Linked DNA regions of Daphnia pulex. The main gene of each other region encodes a partner of the protein of the gene in region 2 in a complex. Links are inferred from orthologs where the notes say so. Each region holds a gene or a part of one and is shown on either strand. Other genes may lie near its edges.

The links.
Region 1: THO complex subunit 4-like (region 2) and eukaryotic initiation factor 4A-III share a complex: the UniProt entries of both Homo sapiens proteins name them as parts of the ALYREF/THOC4-EJC-RNA complex. The link is inferred for Daphnia pulex from reciprocal best matches to the Homo sapiens genes ALYREF and EIF4A3.
Region 3: THO complex subunit 4-like (region 2) and THO complex subunit 3-like share a complex: the UniProt entries of both Homo sapiens proteins name them as parts of the transcription/export (TREX) complex. The link is inferred for Daphnia pulex from reciprocal best matches to the Homo sapiens genes ALYREF and THOC3.
Region 4: THO complex subunit 4-like (region 2) and SAP domain-containing ribonucleoprotein-like share a complex: the UniProt entries of both Homo sapiens proteins name them as parts of the transcription/export (TREX) complex. The link is inferred for Daphnia pulex from reciprocal best matches to the Homo sapiens genes ALYREF and SARNP.
Region 5: THO complex subunit 4-like (region 2) and THO complex subunit 6 homolog share a complex: the UniProt entries of both Homo sapiens proteins name them as parts of the transcription/export (TREX) complex. The link is inferred for Daphnia pulex from reciprocal best matches to the Homo sapiens genes ALYREF and THOC6.
Region 6: THO complex subunit 4-like (region 2) and chromatin target of PRMT1 protein-like share a complex: the UniProt entries of both Homo sapiens proteins name them as parts of the transcription/export (TREX) complex. The link is inferred for Daphnia pulex from reciprocal best matches to the Homo sapiens genes ALYREF and CHTOP.
Region 7: THO complex subunit 4-like (region 2) and THO complex subunit 7 homolog share a complex: the UniProt entries of both Homo sapiens proteins name them as parts of the transcription/export (TREX) complex. The link is inferred for Daphnia pulex from reciprocal best matches to the Homo sapiens genes ALYREF and THOC7.

What each region holds. Positions count from the first base shown.
Region 1 is NC_060018.1:3,384,302-3,388,205, reverse strand, and holds eukaryotic initiation factor 4A-III, read left to right. Parts: upstream 1-1,404; 5' UTR 1,405-1,534; coding exon 1,535-1,682; intron 1,683-1,789; coding exon 1,790-1,992; intron 1,993-2,047; coding exon 2,048-2,180; intron 2,181-2,244; coding exon 2,245-2,378; intron 2,379-2,433; coding exon 2,434-2,522; intron 2,523-2,579; coding exon 2,580-2,718; intron 2,719-2,781; coding exon 2,782-2,897; intron 2,898-2,960; coding exon 2,961-3,196; intron 3,197-3,262; coding exon 3,263-3,279; 3' UTR 3,280-3,404; downstream 3,405-3,904. Other genes in the region: uncharacterized protein LOC124188409, read left to right, coding at 1-270; 39S ribosomal protein L35, mitochondrial-like, read right to left, coding at 481-709, 761-868, 924-1,147; ATP synthase mitochondrial F1 complex assembly factor 2-like, read left to right, coding at 3,784-3,904. UniProt on the Homo sapiens protein: ATP-dependent RNA helicase. Involved in pre-mRNA splicing as component of the spliceosome. Core component of the splicing-dependent multiprotein exon junction complex (EJC) deposited at splice junctions on mRNAs.
Region 2 is NC_060025.1:2,695,818-2,698,947, reverse strand, and holds THO complex subunit 4-like, read left to right. Parts: upstream 1-1,143; 5' UTR 1,144-1,351; coding exon 1,352-1,537; intron 1,538-1,698; coding exon 1,699-1,854; intron 1,855-1,913; coding exon 1,914-2,027; intron 2,028-2,091; coding exon 2,092-2,397; 3' UTR 2,398-2,630; downstream 2,631-3,130. Other genes in the region: ribonuclease Z, mitochondrial-like, read right to left, coding at 50-275, 344-530, 586-866; uncharacterized protein LOC124203100, read right to left, coding at 2,775-2,944, 3,011-3,130. UniProt on the Homo sapiens protein: Functions as an mRNA export adapter; component of the transcription/export (TREX) complex which is thought to couple mRNA transcription, processing and nuclear export, and specifically associates with spliced mRNA and not with unspliced pre-mRNA.
Region 3 is NC_060028.1:7,657,440-7,660,943, forward strand, and holds THO complex subunit 3-like, read right to left. Parts: upstream 2,377-3,504; 5' UTR 1,923-2,376; coding exon 1,743-1,922; intron 1,676-1,742; coding exon 1,519-1,675; intron 1,459-1,518; coding exon 1,254-1,458; intron 1,188-1,253; coding exon 1,026-1,187; intron 950-1,025; coding exon 697-949; 3' UTR 501-696; downstream 1-500. UniProt on the Homo sapiens protein: Component of the THO subcomplex of the TREX complex which is thought to couple mRNA transcription, processing and nuclear export, and which specifically associates with spliced mRNA and not with unspliced pre-mRNA.
Region 4 is NC_060024.1:915,590-918,836, forward strand, and holds SAP domain-containing ribonucleoprotein-like, read right to left. Parts: upstream 1,954-3,247; 5' UTR 1,817-1,953; coding exon 1,796-1,816; intron 1,644-1,795; coding exon 1,550-1,643; intron 1,478-1,549; coding exon 1,410-1,477; intron 1,352-1,409; coding exon 1,242-1,351; intron 1,175-1,241; coding exon 850-1,174; intron 789-849; coding exon 609-788; 3' UTR 501-608; downstream 1-500. UniProt on the Homo sapiens protein: Binds both single-stranded and double-stranded DNA with higher affinity for the single-stranded form. Specifically binds to scaffold/matrix attachment region DNA. Also binds single-stranded RNA. Enhances RNA unwinding activity of DDX39A.
Region 5 is NC_060027.1:616,707-620,563, forward strand, and holds THO complex subunit 6 homolog, read left to right. Parts: upstream 1-1,423; 5' UTR 1,424-1,799; coding exon 1,800-1,906; intron 1,907-1,974; coding exon 1,975-2,208; intron 2,209-2,278; coding exon 2,279-2,440; intron 2,441-2,507; coding exon 2,508-2,670; intron 2,671-2,741; coding exon 2,742-2,896; intron 2,897-2,961; coding exon 2,962-3,049; intron 3,050-3,110; coding exon 3,111-3,197; 3' UTR 3,198-3,357; downstream 3,358-3,857. Other genes in the region: SEC14-like protein 2, read right to left, coding at 314-361; ubiquitin-conjugating enzyme E2 G1-like, read left to right, coding at 3,631-3,676. UniProt on the Homo sapiens protein: Component of the THO subcomplex of the TREX complex which is thought to couple mRNA transcription, processing and nuclear export, and which specifically associates with spliced mRNA and not with unspliced pre-mRNA.
Region 6 is NC_060027.1:3,847,523-3,851,154, reverse strand, and holds chromatin target of PRMT1 protein-like, read left to right. Parts: upstream 1-1,391; 5' UTR 1,392-1,547; coding exon 1,548-1,603; intron 1,604-1,771; coding exon 1,772-1,940; intron 1,941-2,002; coding exon 2,003-2,677; 3' UTR 2,678-3,132; downstream 3,133-3,632. Other genes in the region: tRNA selenocysteine 1-associated protein 1-like, read left to right, coding at 1-130, 197-347, 415-579, 642-1,099; protein timeless-like, read right to left, coding at 3,259-3,614. UniProt on the Homo sapiens protein: Plays an important role in the ligand-dependent activation of estrogen receptor target genes. May play a role in the silencing of fetal globin genes.
Region 7 is NC_060023.1:12,053,787-12,056,598, reverse strand, and holds THO complex subunit 7 homolog, read left to right. Parts: upstream 1-1,266; 5' UTR 1,267-1,413; coding exon 1,414-1,423; intron 1,424-1,484; coding exon 1,485-1,605; intron 1,606-1,671; coding exon 1,672-2,098; 3' UTR 2,099-2,312; downstream 2,313-2,812. Other genes in the region: ataxin-7-like protein 1, read right to left, coding at 1-88; transketolase-like, read right to left, coding at 2,333-2,812. UniProt on the Homo sapiens protein: Component of the THO subcomplex of the TREX complex which is thought to couple mRNA transcription, processing and nuclear export, and which specifically associates with spliced mRNA and not with unspliced pre-mRNA.

The DNA.
Region 1 (3,904 bases), on a different chromosome or scaffold from region 2:
TTTCCTTCGCCTAAGCGTAATCTTACCTCGACTCCATTTCGACACCAAACCCCTCAAACCCCTCAAACCTGGAACGCTCCATCTCAGTATCAAGCCCCTCAAAACTGGAACGCTCCATCTCAGCATCAAACGCCTCAAAACTGGAACGCTCCATCTCAGCATCAAACCCCTCAAAACTGGAACGCTCCATCTCAGCATCAAACCCCTCAAAACTGGAACGCTCCATCTCAGCGAAAAAGTGTTAAAAGGACTCAGGAATGGGACTTTTAAATCCCCCACCCCCTGATATTATGTAACAGTTTTTCAAATTTCTTCTGTTCATGTACTCAAAGATAACACTTCAGTAATACATTTCAGTTCAAGTTAAATATGGTTAAGATATTTGTACAACCAATATTTTTTAACATTGGAATGAAATAAATACAATAAATTTCCTTTTCCATTATTTGAATGTATTTGAACTAGTATTAATTATAGACCTCAATGAGGTTTAACAGCACTTGATGGATACTCTTCTCGCTGATGATACGACTCGTACATGTCATCAACGTAAAACCGTCTCTTTCTCCAGTATTTCGTTACCATTTTGTCAAGAAGAGTTGACTGGGTAGCATTACAAAATACATGCTTTTCACCCCGAATCTTCCTTTTTGCTGTTTTGCTCCAGTGACGTTTACTGTGTCCCACCATTGGCCTTATCCATGCACCCCTAAGAAAACATAATGAATATAAATAACCAGGAATGAATAAAATATATTACCATCCTAAACGATAGAACCTAGAAACAACAGCTTTAACTGTTTTGCGCTTCCCTTTTTTGAGTGACCATTTTGTAACTGATCGGGTTTGCTGCAAAGAGGGAGTAGTTCTGCAAGAAAGTAAGCTTAATTTGTGTGCTTAATAAAATTTAAATTCTTGCTTACAATGACAGATTTTGAAGCAATGGGGAAATAGATGATAATATACTTGGGGTAGCATTCATGGAAGGGTATTGGACACACCGAAAAGTTGATTCTGACGAACCCGAAAAAAACCTTGATGTGCTAGGCAGCAAAATTTTTGCTTTGACTGAAACGACATTTTTAGAAATTGGTGAATAATTCGCCAATCGAAAAGCCGATTGAATAACGTTTTTCAAAGTAAACATTTTAGATTTTTATTTTTCTTGAATCGGGAGAAAATTATTTTCAGTGTTCGTTCGTCTGCTTAATTGAATCTTTTCATGCACGATATCGATATACAAATTACAAAGGCCAGGTCTTTAAAAGGTTTTTAGCAACTTTCATTGATTTTTATTAAATTAAAAATTAAATTAGTTTCAAATTTTAGTGGATCATGAATCATTACTTTTAAGTTGTAAATTTTTGCTTTGAAACCATGAGTATGAAAATTTGGCAACACAGTTGACTCCATGTTGAAGCGATTTTAACGTCTGTAACATTCATTCTATAGCATCCTTTCACCCTTGCCGAACGGACGCAAACTAATTATTCACGAACTATCGTGCTTTTTCACACTTCTGATTTCTAAAAAAATGGAGTCTAAAGGCAGACGTGTTGTCCAACAGATGCCGGATGATTTAACTAATATTGAATTTGAAACGAGTGAAGATGTCAATGTTATTCCCACATTTGACAGCATGGGCCTCCGTGAAGACCTGCTAAGAGGAATTTACGCTTATGGTACGTACAAATGAGACTTTCACTTGTTGAGACCTTGCTCCATTATTCACATTATCCTTAACCTACATGATTTTTAATGTTGAGGTTGGCTTTAAATGTTTCTATAGGATTTGAAAAACCATCAGCTATTCAGCAGAGAGCAATTGCCCCAGTAATCAAGGGGAGAGACGTTATTGCCCAAGCCCAATCCGGTACTGGCAAAACAGCCACATTTTCAATTTCAATTCTTCAGAGTCTTGAAATTCAAACAAGAGAAACTCAAATATTGGTTCTAAGCCCCACTCGAGAGTTGGCAGTTCAAATTCAGAAAGTATGTTATGGCATTACTTTCTGTAGTACAGTGTTTTCATTTAGCTTGTGTTTAGGTTATTCTGGCTCTTGGTGATTACATGAATGTTCAATGCCATGCGTGTATCGGCGGCACTAATGTTGGAGAGGATGTTCGAAAATTGGACTACGGTCAGCACATTGTTTCTGGAACCCCTGGACGTGTATTTGGTATATTTTGCTATTTCTGTTTGTTAAGTTTGGATTGATGATAAGTGTCTTGATAACTCTACAGATATGATTCGCCGACGTACACTAAGGACACGTTCAATTAAAATGTTGGTCCTGGATGAAGCCGATGAAATGTTAAATAAAGGGTTCAAGGAGCAAATTTACGATGTCTACCGTTACCTTCCTCCAGCAACCCAAGTATGTTTTATGATATTTCATAAGAAAAACCAATTAAATCAATCTTTTATTCAAGGTGGTTCTTCTTTCAGCCACATTGCCTCATGAAATCTTGGAGATGACCAGCAAATTCATGACAGATCCCATTCGCATTTTAGTCAAACGGTAAACGTTGTTAAAAGTCTGCTTGTTTTTTATTACTAATTATTTTATGTGGTTTAGTGATGAGTTGACACTCGAAGGAATCAAACAGTTCTTTGTCGCTGTCGAAAGAGAAGAATGGAAGTTTGACACGTTGTGCGATCTGTACGACACACTGACAATCACGCAGGCGGTTATTTTTTGTAATACTAAACGCAAGGTTAGTCACGATTAAATCTCTTCTATTGTTGATTTCGATGTAACACAGTTAGATTGATTTTAGGTTGACTGGTTGACGGAGAAAATGCGTGAAGCGAATTTTACCGTTTCTTCAATGCACGGAGACATGCCTCAAAAAGAGCGTGATACTATTATGAAAGAATTCCGTAATGGTCAGAGGTATTGAAATTTTCGTCTACCATATAACCATTCAGAGTAATAACAATTATTCGTTTATTCTAGCCGAGTTCTTATTACAACTGACGTTTGGGCTCGTGGTATTGATGTTCAACAAGTTTCGTTGGTCATTAACTACGATCTCCCTAACAACCGTGAGTTGTACATCCATCGTATCGGTCGTTCTGGCCGATTCGGACGTAAAGGTGTTGCAATTAACTTTGTCAAGAATGACGATATCCGTATTCTCCGCGATATCGAACAGTACTATGCTACACAGGTTGACGAAATGCCCATGAATGGTAAAATATTTTTAGCATGTTTTTTTTTAACTCTTTCTAAATGTGTTTGTTTTTAATCAATTTCAGTGGCTGACCTCATTTAATCTATAATCCATTTCGGAAAAAGGAAAACAAAGAAGTTGATGCGTCATGTTTTTATTTTGCTGGATTTTTTTTTTCTGTATCCCCGAAGATTTGGACTAAATATATGAAACTTGTGGCCGTTTAATTAATTGTCTTGTTCCATTGTTGGAGTCTAAAAATGACGTCTACTTTACTCGTAGATCTGAAGTAATATATGAACCTTTTGCTCATGAGTTATGACTTATTGACTTATGAGTTATGACACAGTATTTATAATAAGGCATGTTGATTTTTTTTACTCACTTTGAAAATACTTGCGACAATTCGAAACCAGTATTTGAAGGACGTTCCAAATTCCAATTACAAAGTTAGATTTGTTGTATCTCTAGTAGCTGAACAAAAGCTAGAAACTAGCTGAAAACTTGGTTGCTGAAACCCAGTACCCCACATTTCCTTTTTTCTGTTTGAAAACAGTTTTGGTCTGCTACAGTTCGAAGCACCCGGTTGTTGCTTGTTGGTGGGTGATGAAATCATTTGTCACCTCGTCAACAATGTCTTTTTCAACTAATAATTTAATACGTTTTGGCTCCGGCACTTCTAATTTATTGAGAATACTTGGTAATAATCAAATAGGAGCTGGAAACG
Region 2 (3,130 bases):
ATTTTGTTTACATTTCGATTCTAATAATTTGTAACCACTGATAACTCACCAGGATTTCCTTTTTCTCGACAATAATAATTGGTCACATCCTCCTCTTCGATAGGAGAACTAGAAGCTGAACGTGGTAATTTTGCATCATCATTGGGCATAATAGTTACATAATTTAATTTCATGGCAGCATCTTCATAAGATGATGCAGGTGAAGTAGCATCCACATGATTGACTTGTAAATTCTTTAATATGATGAATCTGGAGGCAGCAGTAAATAATTCACCCTATTAAAATTAGATTATGATATTATTGGATCTGCATTAAAATGTGTGCTTAGATGTTATTTGTTTACCAATCCAGGTGGTCCATGGAGTGTGATATTGGGAACACCAACATCTTGAATTGTTAATGAAATTCCAGGTAATCCACCCACATTTTGCCAAGATGTACGGGTGAAGAAAATGTTCTCAACTTTGGACAGCTTAAACTTGTGCTCATGGGCCAAGCGTTGAGATCCTTCTCCGGAATTGAAGAGATAACTAAAAGCAAACAGGAATTAGACTAAAATACTTTTGCTTTAATTTAAAATGTTACCATGATTGATCGGTGAACATATAGAGGGACCGTGGTGCACCACGGACACCAGAACCCAGAACTTGTAATGTTACGGTTCCTGGTGGGTATTTTGTTTTAGTAATCTTCTTTGCCTGTCTTTCTGATTGAAGACGTGCGACATGACTCGTATCTTTCGGCATGTTGGCGAGTAAATTTAACACACGATTTTTATTTTTTATATCGCCGAATACCTTTTGATTAGAATGAAAACTACGTACAGTAACAACTACAACATTTAACAATGCAAATCGCAAATTCATTAGATATTTCTTGATAATCGGGATATTATGGGGCCTAATTAAAATTTACAGGCACTAACTTTTAACTTTAAACACGTGTTGTCATCTAGAGGGTTGAAAAGCAGAATCAAAACACCGGGCTTGGCAACCACGTCGGTTAAAAACTTAATTTGAAACTAAACTGTTTTTTATTTGTAAAATTGAATCAAATAAATTTAAATTTATTATTTGAAAAATAAATCACTTAGAATAAAAGGAGTATTAAATTATTTATGTTTCTTGTTTTTGAAACTGGCAAACGGGCAATATGGGCGCCATTGAGAGTTTGCTTAGGCTCATATTCGTTAACTTGGCATAGAGATTGAGCGTGGCGTCATTGTCGTACCGTCCCTGTCACCATCATCCATTTGTTTCGTTCTTATTGAATCTTTCTTAAACTTGTGTTTCGTTTTTAAATTGATAGTCCTTAATTTTGTCAAGTCCTCCACAAACTTATTGTTATCAAAATGGGCGACAAAGTTGACATGAGCTTGGATGATATCATCAAAACTAGCCGTTCAGCCGGCCGGGGCCGTGGAGGACGCGGCGGTCGTGGTGGCAGTTCTCGTGGAGGCAACCGTAATGCCGGCTCAGGACCCGTTCGTAATCAAAGACAGGGAAATGCTGGGGGTCGTGCTGCACCTTACGCCAAGGTAAATATTTGTTAAGTTATTCTTCTTGTTTTTTTATGTTCTATCAGAAAGTATTGCATAATCCTTGGTTGACTTGTTCGTCTATTTCAAATCCAAGCTAGTCTGTATCTTACAGTCTTCGTGATGCAATAGTGCTGACTCTTTGTGTATGTTATTTTTAGGGCAACCCAGATGGTGACTGGTCTCATGACATGTATGAAGGTGGACCAAGGAAAAGCAATCCCAGGTTGGGTGCTGCACCGAATGCTGCTGGAGGCGGCTCTTCCAAGCTTGTTGTTTCTAACTTAGACTTTGGTGTGTCAGATGCAGACATTAAGGTATAACATATATTGCTTCTCTGTCATGATGAACATGTATTGAATAATTCTATTTATAGGAACTTTTTATGGAATTTGGACCATTGAAACATGCTTCTGTGCATTATGACAGATCAGGCAGATCTCTCGGTACAGCTGATGTTGTGTTTGAGCGCCGTCTTGATGCCGTCAAGGTAAACTTCATGAAACTTGTCAACTGTAGGACACACAGCATCAATATTTGTTTCTTTTCCATAGGCAATGAAACAGTACAACGGAGTCCCATTGGATGGTCGATCAATGGTCATTCAGATGGCTACTTCCGATTTGAACACAATCGCCAACCGACTAACCAGCCCTCGAGCTAACACTAACAACGGGCCGCAACAAAAGAGGACTGGTGCACCAGCTTCCAACAGAGGCCAGAGAGGAGGAGGAGGAGGAGGCCAGCGTGGTCAGCGAGGTGGTGCTGGTGGTGCTCGCCAACGCAATCCCAAACAGCCTGCACCGACAGCAGATGAGCTTGATGCCGAGTTGGAGTCATACAGGAGTGAATTGAAATAACGCAATCGTGTAATGTTCACCAAATTATTTGATTTCTTTGAGTCCACACGTGGTGGATCAGAGGTTGAATCACTGACGCAAACTCCTGATCACCTTTACTTATTCTCCTCACCACCACCACTTTTTCAATAATGTTTTTTCTTTCGTTCTTTTCATACAAATTCAGTGTTTTGAAAGACAAACCTGTCAGACCTGGTTTTAAGACAAAAAAAAATGAAGCTTTCAGCGAAAAACCATTGTTTTTTTATTTGTGATTCCCGAGATGTGTAGAAGCCAAAAGATCTAGTAACGTCCAATTGTATCAAATTGAGTGTATTGGAAAAACTACAAATTTTTTTTTTAACAAAGTCATGTTTATAAAGATTGTGAAGTGCTTATTATGAGCTGCGAAGTGTACGGCGGATTGCTTGACGTAGTTGCTGAGCTACTGCAGCCTCGTTGATGCTGTCGATGATTGGAATTGAACTTCCACGGTAAGGAATTCGTGATGGTTGAGCGAAGGCTGCGGCTTCGCTGTTAAACTTGGTTGGTTTAGAGAATTGGAAACCTGTTTTCGTTACAAATGTTTTGTTACTATTAATTCATAACTATATTTAATTTAATCAGGTATTACTGTGGAGTAGAATTCCGGCTCGGGGGTGAAGTATGAGGTTCATTTCGGCGTTGACTTCTTCCACTGTTGTAATTTCATTAGATGTCTGACCCTGGGACAAATTGGACTCGTGCTGGTCTG
Region 3 (3,504 bases), on a different chromosome or scaffold from region 2:
CACGAGAAGCATTCCGAGTATTTCACGTTCTAGCTGCGGAGAACAATGAACATGAATCTACTCGAGCAAAACGATACATTCGTCTATGTGCCGCTTTGCTGCCTATATATGGGTGTGTGTGTTTAGTGTTTACCAACTACCGTTACGAAATATCAAACGACATTTTAGCCTTGTACATAATCAACGGCACGTATGATGTAACACAAACTATCAATCTATCTGTTTCTACGAAATATGCTTATTATCACGACAACTTAAATTAATTTGCCTTTAGTAATAGAATAAGGATAGGAATAAGTCTTACCTAGATGGACTGCTTGCATAAAAGCGTCGTATTTCTTTAAACGTTAACGCCCTGTTTTTTTCATTATTGACTAAAAATTTGTGCCGAACGGTCATCACCTTTTAACAAATATGGGATCTAGTAATAACGAAAATTATTATTGAGTAATTAATTATGTTTGAACGTTAAAAAAAAGGGAAAATGTGTCCTGGAACAATTCAGTTTTCTGGAAAAGATCTCTGATCTGAGATCCATTTTACTTGTATCTCTCTCAACACAGTTGAAGTTTGTAAGCTTGGCAAATAGTTCTTGACAAGAGTAAACAAGAAAATCTGCAAGTGAAAAAATAAAAAAAAAAAAGCTGGATTCTGTATAAAACACGAGACCTCCTAGTTTTGATTCGTATGGGCCCATCACTCGTTAGAGAGACCAAAGAGCTTCACAGTTCCGGCGTCTCTGTTTCCGTCGTCTTTATCGTCACAGGCGTAGGCCAGCAGGTGAGAGCGTGGATGCCAGGCGACTGTGAAGGTTGGCGTGTCAACTGGAATGCTGATAACGCGCTCGCCTGTACCTACGTGGCTGACGTCGATCAGCAAGTCCTCTGACCCGGACGCCAACATGGACCCATCGTGACTGAAACTCAATGTCCGAACTGGCCAATCCAACCTAAAGGGGAAACACCCAGTCAGTAATTGAATAACCTCAATAGAAAACGGCACGTTATTATTGGCATTAATGTTACTTGGAGAAAGTGCGCAAACAAGCAATTTCATCGGCATCCCACAGAGAGACTAGGGCGTCGGCCGACCCAGTGGCAAAGTACCGTCCAGTGGGGTCGAATTCGATGCAAATGCAGTTGGCGGGGTGAGCCTGTGTGACGTGAACGGTCGTAAGCTCTGGGTAACTAGATACAAGAGAATTGATAGCGTCATGCTAGATTGAAAGCAGGGGGAAGAAAATTCATCATTACTCTAATATGTGGATGCAGCCTTGCCCACTAGTCAAAAAGAAAAGATTGCTAGCCTTGTTCCATTCTATTTCGTTGACTTCAAACTTGAACGGATGTTCTATTTTAATCTTAAAATTCCTGGCATCAATAAAAGTAACAAGGTCTTCCTTATTTCCCACTGCAATGGAATTTCCATCAGGTGACCACGTGATGTTGATATTTTCTCCTGTCAAATCACATTAATGAAGGATTGAATGTTTAAGCATAATTTCGTAATTAATTGTACCCTTGGTGTTTACTGTGGCGACACTCTTTTTAACTCTTGCATCCCAAACTCTCATGGTTTTGTCTCCACTGGCGGTGCTGAGCAAATCAGGATTGGTTTCGTGCCAACATAGCTGATCGACACTGTCATTGTGTCCCACAAACGTTTGCTCCTTAACCTGAAACAGAATGCCTCAAGCTCCATTATAATTGCTGCATGATTGATAAGCCGGGACTAATACTAACCAGTCTGTCGCTTTCCATAGTAAAAATGCACACCGTCTTGTCAAAGGAACCCGACGCTAACCGTCTTCCATCGCAATTCCAATCAACCGTGTGAACCTTGGCCGAATGTGCAGAGACTTCCCTCGTTCGAGTGTGCGTTTTAAAATGATTTTTCAGCTCTTCCAATTCGGCGACTGCCATCTTCTTATAATTTCGGGAAAAAAAAGCGGTTTATATACCTTTACTCGCGTGTCAACAAAACACAGTGTGTGCAGACGAACTAACGCGAAGCCGGTCGTCCCGCCATTTCCAATGCCAAGTCTCTTCTTCATCCGCCAGATGGCAGTTGGAGCGCGAAATTTGAAATTCCTAACTCACTAATAAAAGAAAAAAGGGGTCGGGCAAGGAATGCGTGGTGGTAATGTCGTCTCCTCAATTGGCTCTGATTAGTCGGACGTTAAACGATACGTTTATCGACTGGCTGGCCCAAAATAACAAAAATAAAATAAAAAAGGCGTAGGGTGGGCGGATAGGTGGAAATGCTTTTGTTACCAAACACGGGACACACACCGTAATCAAGCGTGACTAGTACACACACACACACACACAATGAACTCAACAAGCGAAGGGCGTCCAGCCTCTATCAGACGAGATCTAGCTGCATGAATATTATACTCTCTCTCCCAAGTCCCAGCTACACATATAAACTATAGCTGTGGAGCTTGCGCCATTTTGAATGTTATTACACGTCCGATAAATATATATATATCTACACGGCAATAATATGCGCCAAAGCCAAAAGAACCGAGTCCAAATCAACTGGGATGGGCAGCAGCAGCAGCAGCTATGCCCGTTTCTTCAAAAACTACGACTATATAGATTTCAGTTTTCTTATATTTTGTTCTTTTTTTCTTTCTTTCACAGCGCGCAATCATCAAATGATCCGTGTTTGGGCATCGGGGTAATATAAAGCAACAAAAAGTCGTAGTCTCTCTCTGCCAGTGCATGCTGGACCCACAGCGCCGGCACACAGCACATAAGACATCTACAACAACTACAACCAGAACGGCTTCTATATAACGCTAACGACTAACGAGTTAGCATCGACTTTACAAGAATTTACAGCTGTATAGTCGATGGAAGAAGAGAGCGGGGGTAGTAAGGAGAAAAAAAAGGGAAATTTACGAGTCCCCCTCTTCTTCTTCTTCTAGGAGAGAAAAGAAAAAGAAGACGGCCATAAAATAAGCAAATTTCTTGCCCGTTAACTGACGATAAAAGCGACTGGGCGTCCAAGCGCGCCTTGTGGCCTGGCCTGGCCTGGGCTGCTGCTGATGCTCCTACTGGACCTCCTTTTTCTTTGGCTGCTCTCTCCATCATTACACACACCAAAAGAACTTCTTCTTCTTCTTCTTCTATTTTGATAGCCAATCGGTCCCGTGTGTGCGTAATAACATATCGCAGTCGTAAATCTGCGAACGTCTCGTTTCGTTTTGCCCAAAAAGATTCTTTTTCTCTCTCTTTCCCTGGACCTTTTGGCTGGTCACTGGACTCGTCTCGTTGGCCTATACCCAAAGAGTAGTAAAATAAAAATATATAAGAAATAAAGGAAAAAAAAGGGTTTTTTTTCCTTCTATTTTATTTAAAACTCTTCCTTCTCCCCTTCAAATGAAAACGTCTATAGGGTAATACGATTCCGATGATACGCTTTTTTGTTGCTGGTGTGCCTCGACACTTTATGGAGATTGGACCCGCTGGCCCGTTATATATATCCCGGTGATTTACA
Region 4 (3,247 bases), on a different chromosome or scaffold from region 2:
CCGAATATCTAGTAAAATCGCGTAGAGAAAAAAATATTATAGCCTATTATTGCAGCATTTGAGTTGTAATATGCTTTTGTAGTACAGGGGACTTACTTACTGTTCCTGTCCCTCATGGTATAGGACCATGCTGTCTCTTTCCAGATTTCTAAAAAAGCGTCCTACACTACATAGTGAGGGTTTTGAACCCACACTTTATTAGTGGCGGGTTGCTTATTACCTTTGCACGATTATTTCCCTTCCAACTTGAATTTTCTACATTAACCTAAACCGCTACTCCCTTCGACTTGCCACTAGCCTAGAACTCCCTCACTAAATTTCATCTCTTTGTTTCATGCTGCTCTTTTCTTTATAAAATCAAGTGAAATTGCGCACCAACATATCAGGTTATTTCAATTACAAACTAGAAACAAAACAACTCCGCCGACCAACCTAACTCGGACCCATGAGAAAATGTGTTTCAAGTATACACCAAATTAGTATTTTTTTTTTTATCGGGATAAGAAATCAGGTCACATTTAATTTTAAAAAACTAAAAATTTTGTGATCGAACCAAGTCTTTGTTTCATTTAACTGTACGTCAATTAATAAACTTTAAAACGAACATTTCAGGCAAGTCCGAAACGTTCAGCACGTTTGCGCTTCTGTTCGTCAGAACTGCCGACCGCAGTGCTCGTAGTTCCGAATCTCTCTGCTCGCTTCTGTTTCTTCTCATCAACTTCGGAATTAGAATTAGAAACGACGCCAAAGCGAGCTTGCCTTTTCAGAAGTTTGTCATTATCAGGAACCTTAAATAAAAATTCACTACATGAAAACACGAAGAACGATGAGCTGATCAATCGAAAATACCTGAGGTTTTGATGTGTTTGATTCTGTGCTATTTGTACCGCCAAATCTTTCTGCTCGAACAGCTTTCTTCACAGAATCGGGAATAGGAACACCAAATTTCTGTGCTCTTAGTTTGGCTCTTTCTTCGGCAGATAAGGAACCAAGTTTAATCACCTTCTTTTCTTCCTTTGAGTCAGATTCATCACCTTTATTGGCATCATATTTAAGGTGGTCGTCATTTTCCTGTGAAACTGTGCCAGAATCTGATGGAGGAGTTACCACCTTTCTGTTCAAGATGATTTTTTTATGGGGAGAAACTATTTCATTCTTCGAGTCCTGAACAGTCCTGAAATATTATTCATTTCATCATTAATCTTGAGGCAATTATTTTCCAAACAAACAGAGTAACTAACTTTTCAACTGTAACTTTGGGGGCACTCAATGCAGTAGGTGTTAAAAGAACTGCATCATCTTCTTGGGCGATCAAATTTGCATTTCCTTCCTCTAAAATAGCTTCTTCATCCTATACCAAAAATAAAATTGCATAAGTTTATCACATTGTATAAAACCAATGTTCTTACTGCTAAAACTGCCTCCTCATCCAAAAGGTCATCATTGTCTAAGGCGCCATTATCTCCAGTATCGTCATCTTAACATCCACGGAAAAAAGCTTGAACATAAACATGGAAACAGTTTAATAATCAAAATGATAAAAGTTTACCTTGCACAGCATCTTGCAGTCTTTCCATCAATTCATTTTTAGTGCCAATGGTGCTGAGGCCTCGTGTTTTTAACTCTTTTTTAAGGTCCACAACCTAGCATGAAAACAACAGTCAAGATGAAATGCACACAGTAGGCCTATCACTAGTTCAAAAACATAATAGACATTTGATTTGACAAACTCAATCAGGATTCTAAGTTGGAAATATTGACAAGTTTCACTCAAATATAAAGTTAAGCGGGTTACTTTTAATTTAGAGATGTCCATGATTGTGATGATAATGATGACGTTTGTCTGTACCGGCGTCTCAAACTTTCAATGAATTACAATTGGAACGCGCAACGCGGTAACTTGAAAGTAATTCGACTTTTGAATGCCAGTGTATTGTTTCAGAGGAGAAATTGCGTATGCTTTTGCTGGCTTCTAAACTAGTGATCTCTATCGGGCGCATCCTGTACTAAAGTAGTGTCACCTATCGTCAATGCAAAAAGTTTGTCCGAGTCATGTTGCCATGTTAGTGTGTTACTAGCCAACAATGAGAAAGAAAACCCTCGAAAAAGTAATCAGCCACGTAGGATAACTCTGGTAGGATTTTGAAAAAAAATAGTGAGAAATTAATTTTAAGCGATGGGTTTCTCGGACAAAAAGGCTACGCATAAAACATTGCAACTACGTTATTTCTGTAATCGCAAATGATCAAACTCATTGTCAAAGTAATTTTTTTTTTTTAATTTAAAGAGCTTGATAAAAACTTCATAAAATATCTTGTGATAAACCAAGTAAAACTGATTGGCTTAACTAACTAGTGTGTGTATTGTAAATCAATGATTTTAAATTTCATCGTAACATCGTAGTGAATTTTGAATTTTTGATTCTTTTCCCGCTCAAAGAACAAGAAAGTGACAAAAAGTAACGTGTTTTAAGACAAGCAAACAGTTCAAGCTGCAATAGTTATATAATGAATGAGACAAATGCTCAAGCCGTGTATTTCGCTTTGACATGAAAATACGTGCGCGCAAAAAGCACTTTCACGACGACGCTCAGCTTCGGACAGTAGGCAATGTTTACGTAGCGAGCGACACATCTCAAAGGAAGAAAAAAACAATGGTCTTTTCGCGTCTTTTTCTTTCTTTTTTAACAAAAAAAAACAAAAAAACAAAAACAAACAACCAATTCGCAGAAACGTGGCTATATTCCGGCAAGGAGTAAAAGGTGGGTAAAAGGAGAACACCAATTGCTGTGGCAATATCCAACTTGTGCGAGGCAATCGATTTCTGTTTTTCTTTTTTCAAGGCACGCACAACTTAACTATATATATCATTTACTGCTGAGGACAATTATGGTTTTACACGTTTCCAATAAGGGATTGGGGGGGGGGGGTTAAACGGCACGACGGTAGTCGATTTGTCTGGTCCCGGGATACTGTTGTAATAAAGGATATACAGTGATGCCCAATGATTTTCTTATGTTTTTTCACTATTCTTGGGACCCAATTTTTAAGCCCATTCTGAAATGGCGTCAAATTTTCTCTTTTTAGCTTATCGGGAATTGTTTTTGTTTTTTCCCCGATAAATACACGTTACACGCAACACTACAGCGATCATCATTCATCAACTTGTAAGCGATTGGTATACAAGCACTTGAAAATACATACACGAATATATCAAATCAGAGAGGCGCGCGTGGCGGCCTATTTCT
Region 5 (3,857 bases), on a different chromosome or scaffold from region 2:
TGTTGGTGAGAAAAAAAAAACGGAATTAATAAAAGATTGAAACATTTTTATAACGGCCCAGATTTCTACGTGTATAAAGCACTGTAAGTTTTCTTCGCCCTTTTGCTCCGAAAACCCGCTGGGTTTAAAACAAAAAAAAAGCATAACAGGTTGGAATTTAAAAAGCTTGCCACAGCTTTCTCTGCCACTCACATTGTTACCTCATTCTATCTTTGATTAATACACTATCCGCGTTCAGCGTGGCGAAATTTCAATACTGGCGAAAATTTAACCTTCGTCTATTATTACAATTAAAAAAGACGATTTTAAATACCTGGTCGAATAAGTTTCGTTTCTCTGGGCTTAGTTGTGTAAGGTCCATGACCGAGAGAAAAGAGAAATTTTCCTCTCGGAATAGTAGAAAGAAAGAAAGTCCCGAGATCCGTATGTTAGATTGCGCGGCTCAACTGGAACTTTTCGAGTTAAGAGTTAAACTTTTTGATCGTTTTGACACTTTCAATTGTCAAAACATGGTGTTGGCTGTTTGTTGGGTTTTAACTCGACCTAATAGTTCCACTACGTCAGTTCGTGTTGTTCCACTGTGATTTCGCTTTATAAGTGCCCAGTCTGAACGAGAATAGCAGTGCGATGCGACCGATCTGTTGGGTGGTTCACACATCAAGAAGGCAAGCGAACGAATGTAGGCTAAGGCCATTAGATTTTTTGGATTCTAGCAATATTATTATCAGAGAGGAAAGCAGGTTTCCTTTCCTGGTATTTCTTCTTGCAGGCCCTCTGATGTTTACTGAATGCACTACGTGCTGTTGCCCTAGCGCTGTATTTTGCTCCCGGCGGCTTATCCCGTTAATAACAGCCTTATGTATTCACGGCGGCCTGAATTATTACAGGTTATTCAGTAATCACTCCACAAGTTTATAAACTCGTAAATTATGCGATCCGCGGGGGGATATAAACTGCAGTCAAGGTTTTCCTGAAGAAAACTTAACACACTGCTGCGCCGCTACGTCTCAGGTGTGACCAAAACACGTATCTTGGCTATCACATTTTATTATATATTTTTTTATTTGAAACATTTCACTTTTTTAAAATTGGTCTGGTTGTTCTGTGTCAAAGTCAACATCTCGAAAATAATCAAAAAGGCAAGTCTATAACAAATTTGGGGGAGTGTTTTCACACAAGTCTAGATACGGTATCATGTCTGATTCCAATAGCTGATTTCATGGGAAATCAGATCTAGTTAATCTAAGCAAATAAGATTAAACTACAAAAAGCTGAAGGGATATCGGTTTCGATTCAAGGCCCAAGGGAAGTGACGTGTAGGGAATAATGGGAATAAGTAAGTTGCGTTCAGTGTATGACAACTCATTGATGATATTCATTATATCTGAGAGTGTCCTTGATCTTATTATTTTGGTCTTTTCAAATCTGAAGTTGACCACATTAAATAACTACAGTTAAAATTTTTGAAACATCATTCAACAGCGCTTTAAATCGGTTTAGATCTTCATCGAACCAATGAAACCAAGTCGTAGTTCACATTTCTATTTGTTTTTGGCTTATTTCTCAGTTGAATTTCCCGGGTAATGGCTGAAACTGAAAAACCTTTCTCGGATTTCCGCAAATTAGTAGATATCGTAGCAGACGCTTCCGCATGGAGACCCAGAGCGCCACAAAAATCAAACTTTGCCGGTGTATATTCTTGTTTTGATTTTCAAATTAAAAGTTAAATTTACTGAGTTACAAATTCTCCGACTTCACGAATAACTAAACTGTTAAAGCAGTGATTAAAGTGCGAAAATATGCCTAACATAAAATCGTTTTACGTGACTGTCCTCTCTCAAGCCCTATCTCCTTGTGAGGAATTTCTAGCTGCTGGAACCAATTTTGGGAATGTCAACATATTTAAGTATTGAATTTATTCTTAAAATAATATTACTGAAAAAAAAAATTTTATTAACATGTATCTCTTCCTAGTATCAAAAGTTTGTATGCCGAAGATGAACAGGGTCCACGTGAAAGCCTCACATTACCACAGAAATGCTTTTCTGTCAGTACCAAACCTTTGCAAGCTATAACATCTTTAAATGATAACTTACTCGTTGGAGGCAAGAACTGTATTGAGGCATTTAGCTGGAATCAATTGGTGCTTCCACAGAATAGTGATGAGAAGGTGAAACCTTGCTGGAAAGTTGATCTTCGCTTGCCAACGTAACCATATTAGAATATTCTGATTATTACATTTATCATAATTAACTGTTGGTTTTATGTAATTTTATAGTGACTTTGGCACTAAAGAAACTGTAGATTGCATGATTAACGGTGAAAACTCAACTTTTGTTGCTTGTGGAGACAACAATATTCATCATGTAGATCTTGAATATGGGAAAGTTAAACAAACCTTCTCTGGTCATACTGATTTCATTCACTCAATGTCCCTGGTGTATGTAGATGTAGTTACAATTCAAGTTATTGCATAAAAACATTAATTACTTTTTATTGTGTGATAGTGGGAATCAGCTATCAAGTGCAAGTGAAGACGGAACAGTATGCATCTGGGATACTCGAAAATCAAAACCTAATCACGTAATTACACCACATTTGGAGTCTAAACTGAATCGACCCCATCTGGGAAAATGGGTTGGTGCTGTTGCTATGAATGAAGATTGGTTGGTAAGTCTTGTTTAAGGAAGTAATCTAATCGATGAGAAATCACTACAGTTGTTATTTGTCGCATATCATAGGTGTGTGGAGGAGGCCCGCACTTAGGACTTTATCATTTACGATCTTTGACAATGAGTAGAGTATTACTCGAAGAAGACGTCCATGGTGTTAACAACGTTATGTTTCACGAAGACAATATAATCGTCGGCGTAGATGGACCGTTTGTATACCAATGGTAATTTTTAAAAATTTAAATTTCCCCCTTGACACTAATGTGTGAGCTGGGTCAATTATTTTTAGCTTATTTTCGGGAGATATTACCGTCAAAATGCCTACAAGTCCCCTTAGAGTCTACAGTATTTGCCTCCAGAAAAAGGATGCAAATAAAGTAAAAAAATATTATGATAATGAAATGAAAAACAAATATAATCTTTGGATTGTTATATTAGTTGCTATTCGTCGGCGGATCCGGTGGAGACATTGACATTTGCACCAGTTCTAAACTACAAGATCAAGTGATTCGTTGTCTTTCATGAATTATGTATCGTCATTTGAACATTTTCATCTCGCTTGCCCTTCCATCAATTATTATACAAAAAAAAACAAAGACATCTGCCATGTCTTTAGATTAATAATGTCAAATTGTGATGTTTTATATCGAGTAATGTTCACAAGAAAATACATCGTGATAATTTATTTCTGGGTTTATTGAATCAATGTTTATTTTAGGAGTGCAATTTAAAAAAAATTAAAATTTATAAAACATGCATTGACGGCATTGACGGAGATTGGTCCGTGACCTGGCCGTGATTAAATTGATTGGCCAACAACGCGCGAGCTCTAGAGGAAGGAAGGAGATTTGGCAACGTCAAAGGCTAGGACGAAGCAAGCAACGTGCTTGGAAAGACTTCTCAACTTGAGAGAAGACTTCTCAAGTTCCTCTCAACAAATTTACGTTTTGATTTCATTATGTCCGAATTGCAGTCAGCATTACTTCTTAAAAAACAGCTAGCAGGTAATTCAGTTGTTCTTGGAACAGGTTATGTAAGATGAAGAGCGTGCGAGTCGCTGTACTTTTTATTTGTTTCACCAGTTTCACTCATTCAATGGCGTTGGCTGACGGCTTTCTTGTTTGTTATATGCTTGACTTGAAATTTTTTATCGAGTTTAAGTGTTGTTTTAACATTCGTTTATTT
Region 6 (3,632 bases), on a different chromosome or scaffold from region 2:
CATCAAAGTCATGAGAAATAAGCACACTGGATTACCTGCTGGTTTTGGATTTTGTCAGTTTCGAGATGAAAAGCAAGCAATGGAAGTTCTACACAAATTGAATGGCAAAATCATTCCATACAGTCAGCCGGTAGTGTATTAACTTTTAATTTACCATAATTTATATTAGTTATATTATCTGTTTTCCCACTTTTAGCCAAGCCGTTTCAAGTTAAATCACAGCACAAACACTAAAGGTTCTACAGCCGATCATGCACTGTGGGTGGGAGATTTGAGTGCTGATGTAGATGACTATGGCCTTTACAAATGTTTTTCTGCAAAATATAACTCAGTTCAATTGGCAAAGGGTAATTTGTAAAATTTCTGTAATGATTTTATTGGCAATTATCTGAACTTCTCGTATTTTATGTTTAGTGGTCAGAGGCAGCAATGGAGAAAGTCGCGGCTATGCGTTTGTTAATTTTTCTAATGAAAGTGATTACAAAGATGCGCTGACACATATGCAAGGTCACAGAGGACTCGGCAGCAACCCACTTAGAGTTTCATTGGCTATTCCTCGTAATTACAACATGATACCTGGTAAATGCACGCTTAAACTTTTCTTTGGAGTACATTTCATTTCATACTCTTTTAACTTTTAGGATCCTCATCCAGTACATCTTCTACTTCTACGTTAACTGCATCGATTGCTTCGTCAATTGTCCAGGCCGCAGCCAGCGGCCAGCCAGTTCAACCTCAAGCTGCTGCTGCAGCAGCTGGCTACGGACAGTACGTCGATCCAGCCTATTGGCAACAGTACGGTGGCTGGCAAGGATATGGTTACCAAGGCGGATACGGCTATGATGGTCAACAAGCTTATGCCGGATATGGCGTTGCTGGGCAAATGCCTGCTCAACCTGAAGAAGATGAGTTTGAGCTCATAGAACACAATACACCCGTCGATATTGAGAAACTGAACAGAGAACTTTTTGAGCGCAATCAGGATTTGTGGGATGCACTAGATGAAGCTCGCTGGACAACATTCAATCCAGAGAAAGCCGTTCCGGCAGTTAAAGCTGAGGAAAACGGAAGCAGTACTCCTACAGTAGTGGCCGCCTAATTTCTTTTTATAAAACACTATTGACCATCTCATACGATAAAAAAACAAAGATTCATTTCTGCTTGTCATCTGATTTTGTTTTACAGAATGAATACATTGATTTCAAATAAATACAGATTTCCAATTCTTTCACTTTCTGTATTATCTAGTATATTTAATTATTGACATGATTCTACACCCATAAAACATTTCCTCCACCCACATTTTTTAAAACATGCACTCTTACTCAATCGTAAATCACGACATACTTTCTTTTTTCCGCTAGGTGTCACTTTACTACCCAATAGCAGTCGAAAAAAGTTGAGCGTCATTAGTTCACAGCCGGGCAAACATCAGCAATTGTTTTCATTGACTTCACGAGAAACATTTCTAGATAGCTCGAAATTATCTGTTTTCGGCATTTTCTTGACCGTAATTGAACTTTGGTTCAGCAGTATTCTAGCACAAAATGGCTTCAGGAGGCAGAGTACCAAATAATTCAACTTCCTTATCCTTACATGAAAGGTATAAATCATTAGGCAATTTGGGTTTGTTATGTCGTATATGCGATTGAAATAGTTGTTTGCCGCAATTTTCCCCCTGTTAAACATTGAATTTCCTTGCTTTTATAAAGTATGTGTTGATTTTCTTCTCATTTGCTGATTTTTAACGCATGAAAATTTTTCGTTACAGATTCTCCAAATTACGAAGCTCAGCAGGGGGTCAGAAATTGGCTGGAAAACTGCAAGGGGCTAGAAATAATGCAGCTAATCTTCAAAAGGCATCAAGCAAGAATAGCAGACTAGCTCAACAGATGGAAAGACGAAATGCATCAGTCAGTGCTGCTTTGAAACTGAAAAAGGTGCAATTCCTCGTTTTTAATTCATAACCAGATATACTTACATCATTTATACTGTTATTCAGAAAAGCATCAAACAACGCCTTGGAGCCACAGTAAACACCAGTACTCGATTTCGCGGAACGGCCACCCAAACTCAAAGGAGACTCACAACCAATCGTGGAGCTGGTCGCGGGAGTCAGTCGCGAGGATCTCTGCGAGGAAGTCGAACGCAAGGGCAAACGGTCACCCCAACAAAGATAATTCGAGGCCGGGGCGGACTGAAGCCCATTGTCAGCCAAACAATCGTTCGTGGCGGTGGACAAGGAAACAAGAGAAGCACTCGCGGAAGAATCATTTCTCCATCGAAAAAGCCAGCCCCCGTTGCTGCCACAACCAATCGTTCGCCGACCAAACCTTCGCGTGCTAGAGGCAGCGTGAGAGGAAGACGAGGTGGTCGAGGGCAGATGACATCTTCATTGATTACCGGGCAAGCTGAAAGTCGTATCCAGCGTGGAAGAGGAAGAGGACGAGGCCAACGTGGTGGTAAGGGACCCAGTCGTGGAGGAAGCAGCTTGCCGACATCTCCGCGCGGTCAGACATCCGGACGTGGTCGAGGGCGTGGTCGAGGTGGCTCTACCAAGGTCAGCAAAGAAGATTTGGACAAGCAATTGGATCAGTACATGCAAAAGACTCGTAGCGCTCTAGACAATGATATTGAATCCTACATGTCTAAAATTGGGGACGTTGAAATGAATTAAATATGCAATAATCTTTCTCCAGTCGTTACCTCACCTGTGCTGCTCCCCAACTTCAAACGAAAGAACCTTCTTACTAATAACTCCCCTTCGCCAAGTCTTGATTGACTATTAACAATGTTTTAGTCCTTAAAGTTAAAAGTGAATCCAATTCAGAATTTGTCTTTGAGAAAATGGTTGGACTGTTGTGAAGAGTCTAGACAGAAAAAAGAGATTTTGGACAACCTTGTCTTGATTTCATTCTAGCACTTGATTAAATGGTTCTTGTACTTTCCCCCAGTTTTTGGAGTCCCTTTTTGCCGTGTGTTTCTTGCTTTTCCCTCCTGTTACGGCGCACTTAGCACATGTATCTTTTTATAATTCATTCATATTTCATCCGAGGACTTGAGTGTGAAAAGGTGTGCCTGTGAAACGAGAAAGAGAAACTCATCCCAAAAAATACAAATGATTAACCTCAACACTAATTTGATTTTTGTTCCTTCATTTAATCGTCGCTGATCATAGACAAAATTACAACAAATTACTCTAATGATTGGCCAGCAGTAATCAAGCGGGACCGATCGAAGCTAAATTAAATGGATAAGCTACAATTTTCCTACACAACTCAAGTCGAAATCAACTTGCTGATGGGCAACGGAACCCAACGAAAGAGCAACATTGTACAGAGTGTCTGGTGACCATTCGAGTGGGATCCTTGGATAGGTGCCAGCGTTAGGAAGCGAAGGGAAAAGACCCAGTTGACGCAGAAAAAAGCGAAAGGGTTTCGAACTCAATGCGGAGGCTTCCGCTTCCGTCCAAGGGACTATCGGGCATGGCGTATTCAATTTCAAGCTCAAACAGGTAATTGGATGACGGAATTCGTGGTCGGAGTAAATGCCCAAACGTGCTGCACAGGCCGTCAATAAAGACGACTGAATCCAATCGAGTTGTTTCTGAAATCCTATATTTATCGATACAT
Region 7 (2,812 bases), on a different chromosome or scaffold from region 2:
TTAATGGACTATCTCTGCCTAATCTATCAGCCCAAACAGACCAAGGCTGGCCATGAAGACTTGTTGGACTGTCATCGTTGGACGCCATCTTTGTTAACAGAAAATTTTTTCTTAATTTCTCCTCTCCGAGACTCCGTCTTCTTTCCTCACCTGCAACAGCGTTGCAACTATAGTGAAAGCAGCTCGGCAGCTACCACTGCCCTTGATGCCTTGCCTCCTCTAATTACTCTATGGCATTAACACCCATTGGACTATTTCAAAATTACCTTTAATATAGTACTTGTATATTTTTCCTAGAATTAAAAAATGCGTTGCGTTTCTTTGCCACTTGAAGACCTTAATGTGTAAGCGTACTAAAGTTGTTGATTCTATTCGTTGGCAATTTATGAAATTTTATGATGATTTAATGATGAAATTATCTTCTAGCGAAACGTTCTAGCAATAATTTAAATCCTCAATCGTCCGTCTATTTTTTTTTTAATTTTGGCAAAAGATTTTATGCATTGCGGAACTCAAAAAGTACATTTTTCTTTGCGCTAAGTATCTTTTTACAATTTTCACACATGGACTGCAACAAGTATGACTATGAGAACAAGCTGCACATAATCATAATGACATCAACTGATAAACACATATGTGAAAATTCCCCATTGAGGTACCAAATCTCTCTCAACTCAGTTATTTTATATTACCAACCAATCAACCATCTGACATCTTGACAAATACAACCATTAATTGACATGCACCTTTTATACTTACAAATAAATGTTGTTTGTAAGTATCTTGCACCCAAAATTATTTTTTCACTGTCAGTTACACACCTGTTTAAAATGAATCTGTCAATCTTGATCACCAATCTCAATTTTCAGGACAATAAAAACAGGTTTTCCTAGAATGTAAGGCAACAGTTTAATTAAAAAGAAGAGATTGACGTTAATCTGGAAACGAGAAAAACAACACTCCAGATCCAGCATTTCATTGGATTCTTTCCTTGACATCACCTGATTGATTCTAAACCGTTCAATGGTTTCCCAAGTATATTGCTGATCTGCTGGACTAGCTCTCTTTCGGTTTTGCTAATGTTTATACAGGCATGCAAGTTTAACCCTAAACAAAATAGATACCTAATCAATCGGATGATTTTTTAAAAAGCCATGTCTCCTTCCTTTCATTTGAGGGGCGTGTCGTCTGCTGGCGGATTTAAAAAACAAAACAAAAGACGAGCGAACTACGCTTACGGCAGACGAAAATATTTTTTCATTTTTCAGTACTTTCCGGCGTTTCCGCAGCGACATTTCTCCTAGGTTTGTCATCTCATTCTTTCGCCCGGTTTGACATCTCAATATTCTCAAAGCTTTACCAGTTAAATTGTATTATTATTGGTCTTATTTTGATCCCAATCATTATTCACAAATGGGAGATGGTAATTTGACTTGTTAGTAATATTATTTCGGTTAATTTTCATCTTGTACTTCGTTATGTAGAAGAGATCATCCGAAGGAGGCTGTTGTTTGATGGCGAAGGAACTGGTGATGAAAGAAGACTTAATGTATTGCTTAAAGGTTTCCTAGCTTGGTGCAACTCTACAGATAGTGTTGAAGAAACGTAAATTAATCTTTGTATAAAATTCTTCTATACTCTATATGTGATGTATTTTTATTTGTTTTACAGACAAGCATCCTACGCTAGAATGATTGGTCAGATTGCCCAATGTGAATTTGCTGCCACAAAATCCTTGAGGTGCTGTGAAATGAACACTGCAGAACAGCAGCACTATGACGACCTCTACAACCAGATTGAAGAAGGAATTGTGTCAGCTAAAAAAGACATTGAAGCAACCAAGAAGGAGTTGCAAGAAGCAAGACAGATTCGCAGGAATAAAATGGAATATGATGCTTTGGCTGCCATTATTCAAACACAGCCTGATCGAAAGAGCAACCAAGAGAAATTATCCCTATTGCGACAGGAACTGGAAGCTTCAGAATGTGAATGTCAAAAACTGGAGGCCAAATTAGAACAAAGACGCAAACAATTTCACTTACTCATTTCAACTATCCAAGGATTACAGCAACTTCTTAACGATGATGAAGCATCCTAATAATTGTTCATTTTGTATGCATCCCTTTTTTCTATTTTTGAATAATAATGCTAACAAATAAAAATCATTTGAAACACCAAAAAAGCTATGTATGAATAAACTATCCAAACGGTACATATACGACTTGGAATGCCATAGAAGAATGTTTCAAAAAACACCACCAATTCTTCTCAACTATCCATAGACCTCTGGTAAGGAATGGGTATAGGAATGAGTGACTTAAAAAAAGGGCGTTTACAACGCAACAAGTTTTTTCGCGGCTTCGGCAATAGCCTTGGCGCCGATTCCAAAATGTTCTAGGAGAACCTCTGGAGGACCGGAGCGGGGAACTTCGCGAACTGCCAAAATCTTGACGATAATATTTCGTTGTTCGGCTAGAGTTGAAGCAACAGCCTCACCCAATCCACCTTCTGGGTAATGGTCTTCAACGGTCAAAACCCGGCCGTTGCAACGAGTGGCTTCCTTCAACAGCAAATCGTGATCAATGGGTTTGATGGTAAATGGATCGATGACAGCAGCCTTGATGCCGGCTTCCATCAGCATGTCGGACGCCTTCAGCGCTTCGTGGAGTGTAACGCCGGCGCCAACGATAACCAAATCGTCTTGATCGTGACTACGAACAACGTGACCCTTTCCAGCAGAGAAAACTTGTTCGTTCTCGTAGATGACGGCTGTGTTGGGGCGAGATGTACGAATGAAGCAAATTCCTTTGGT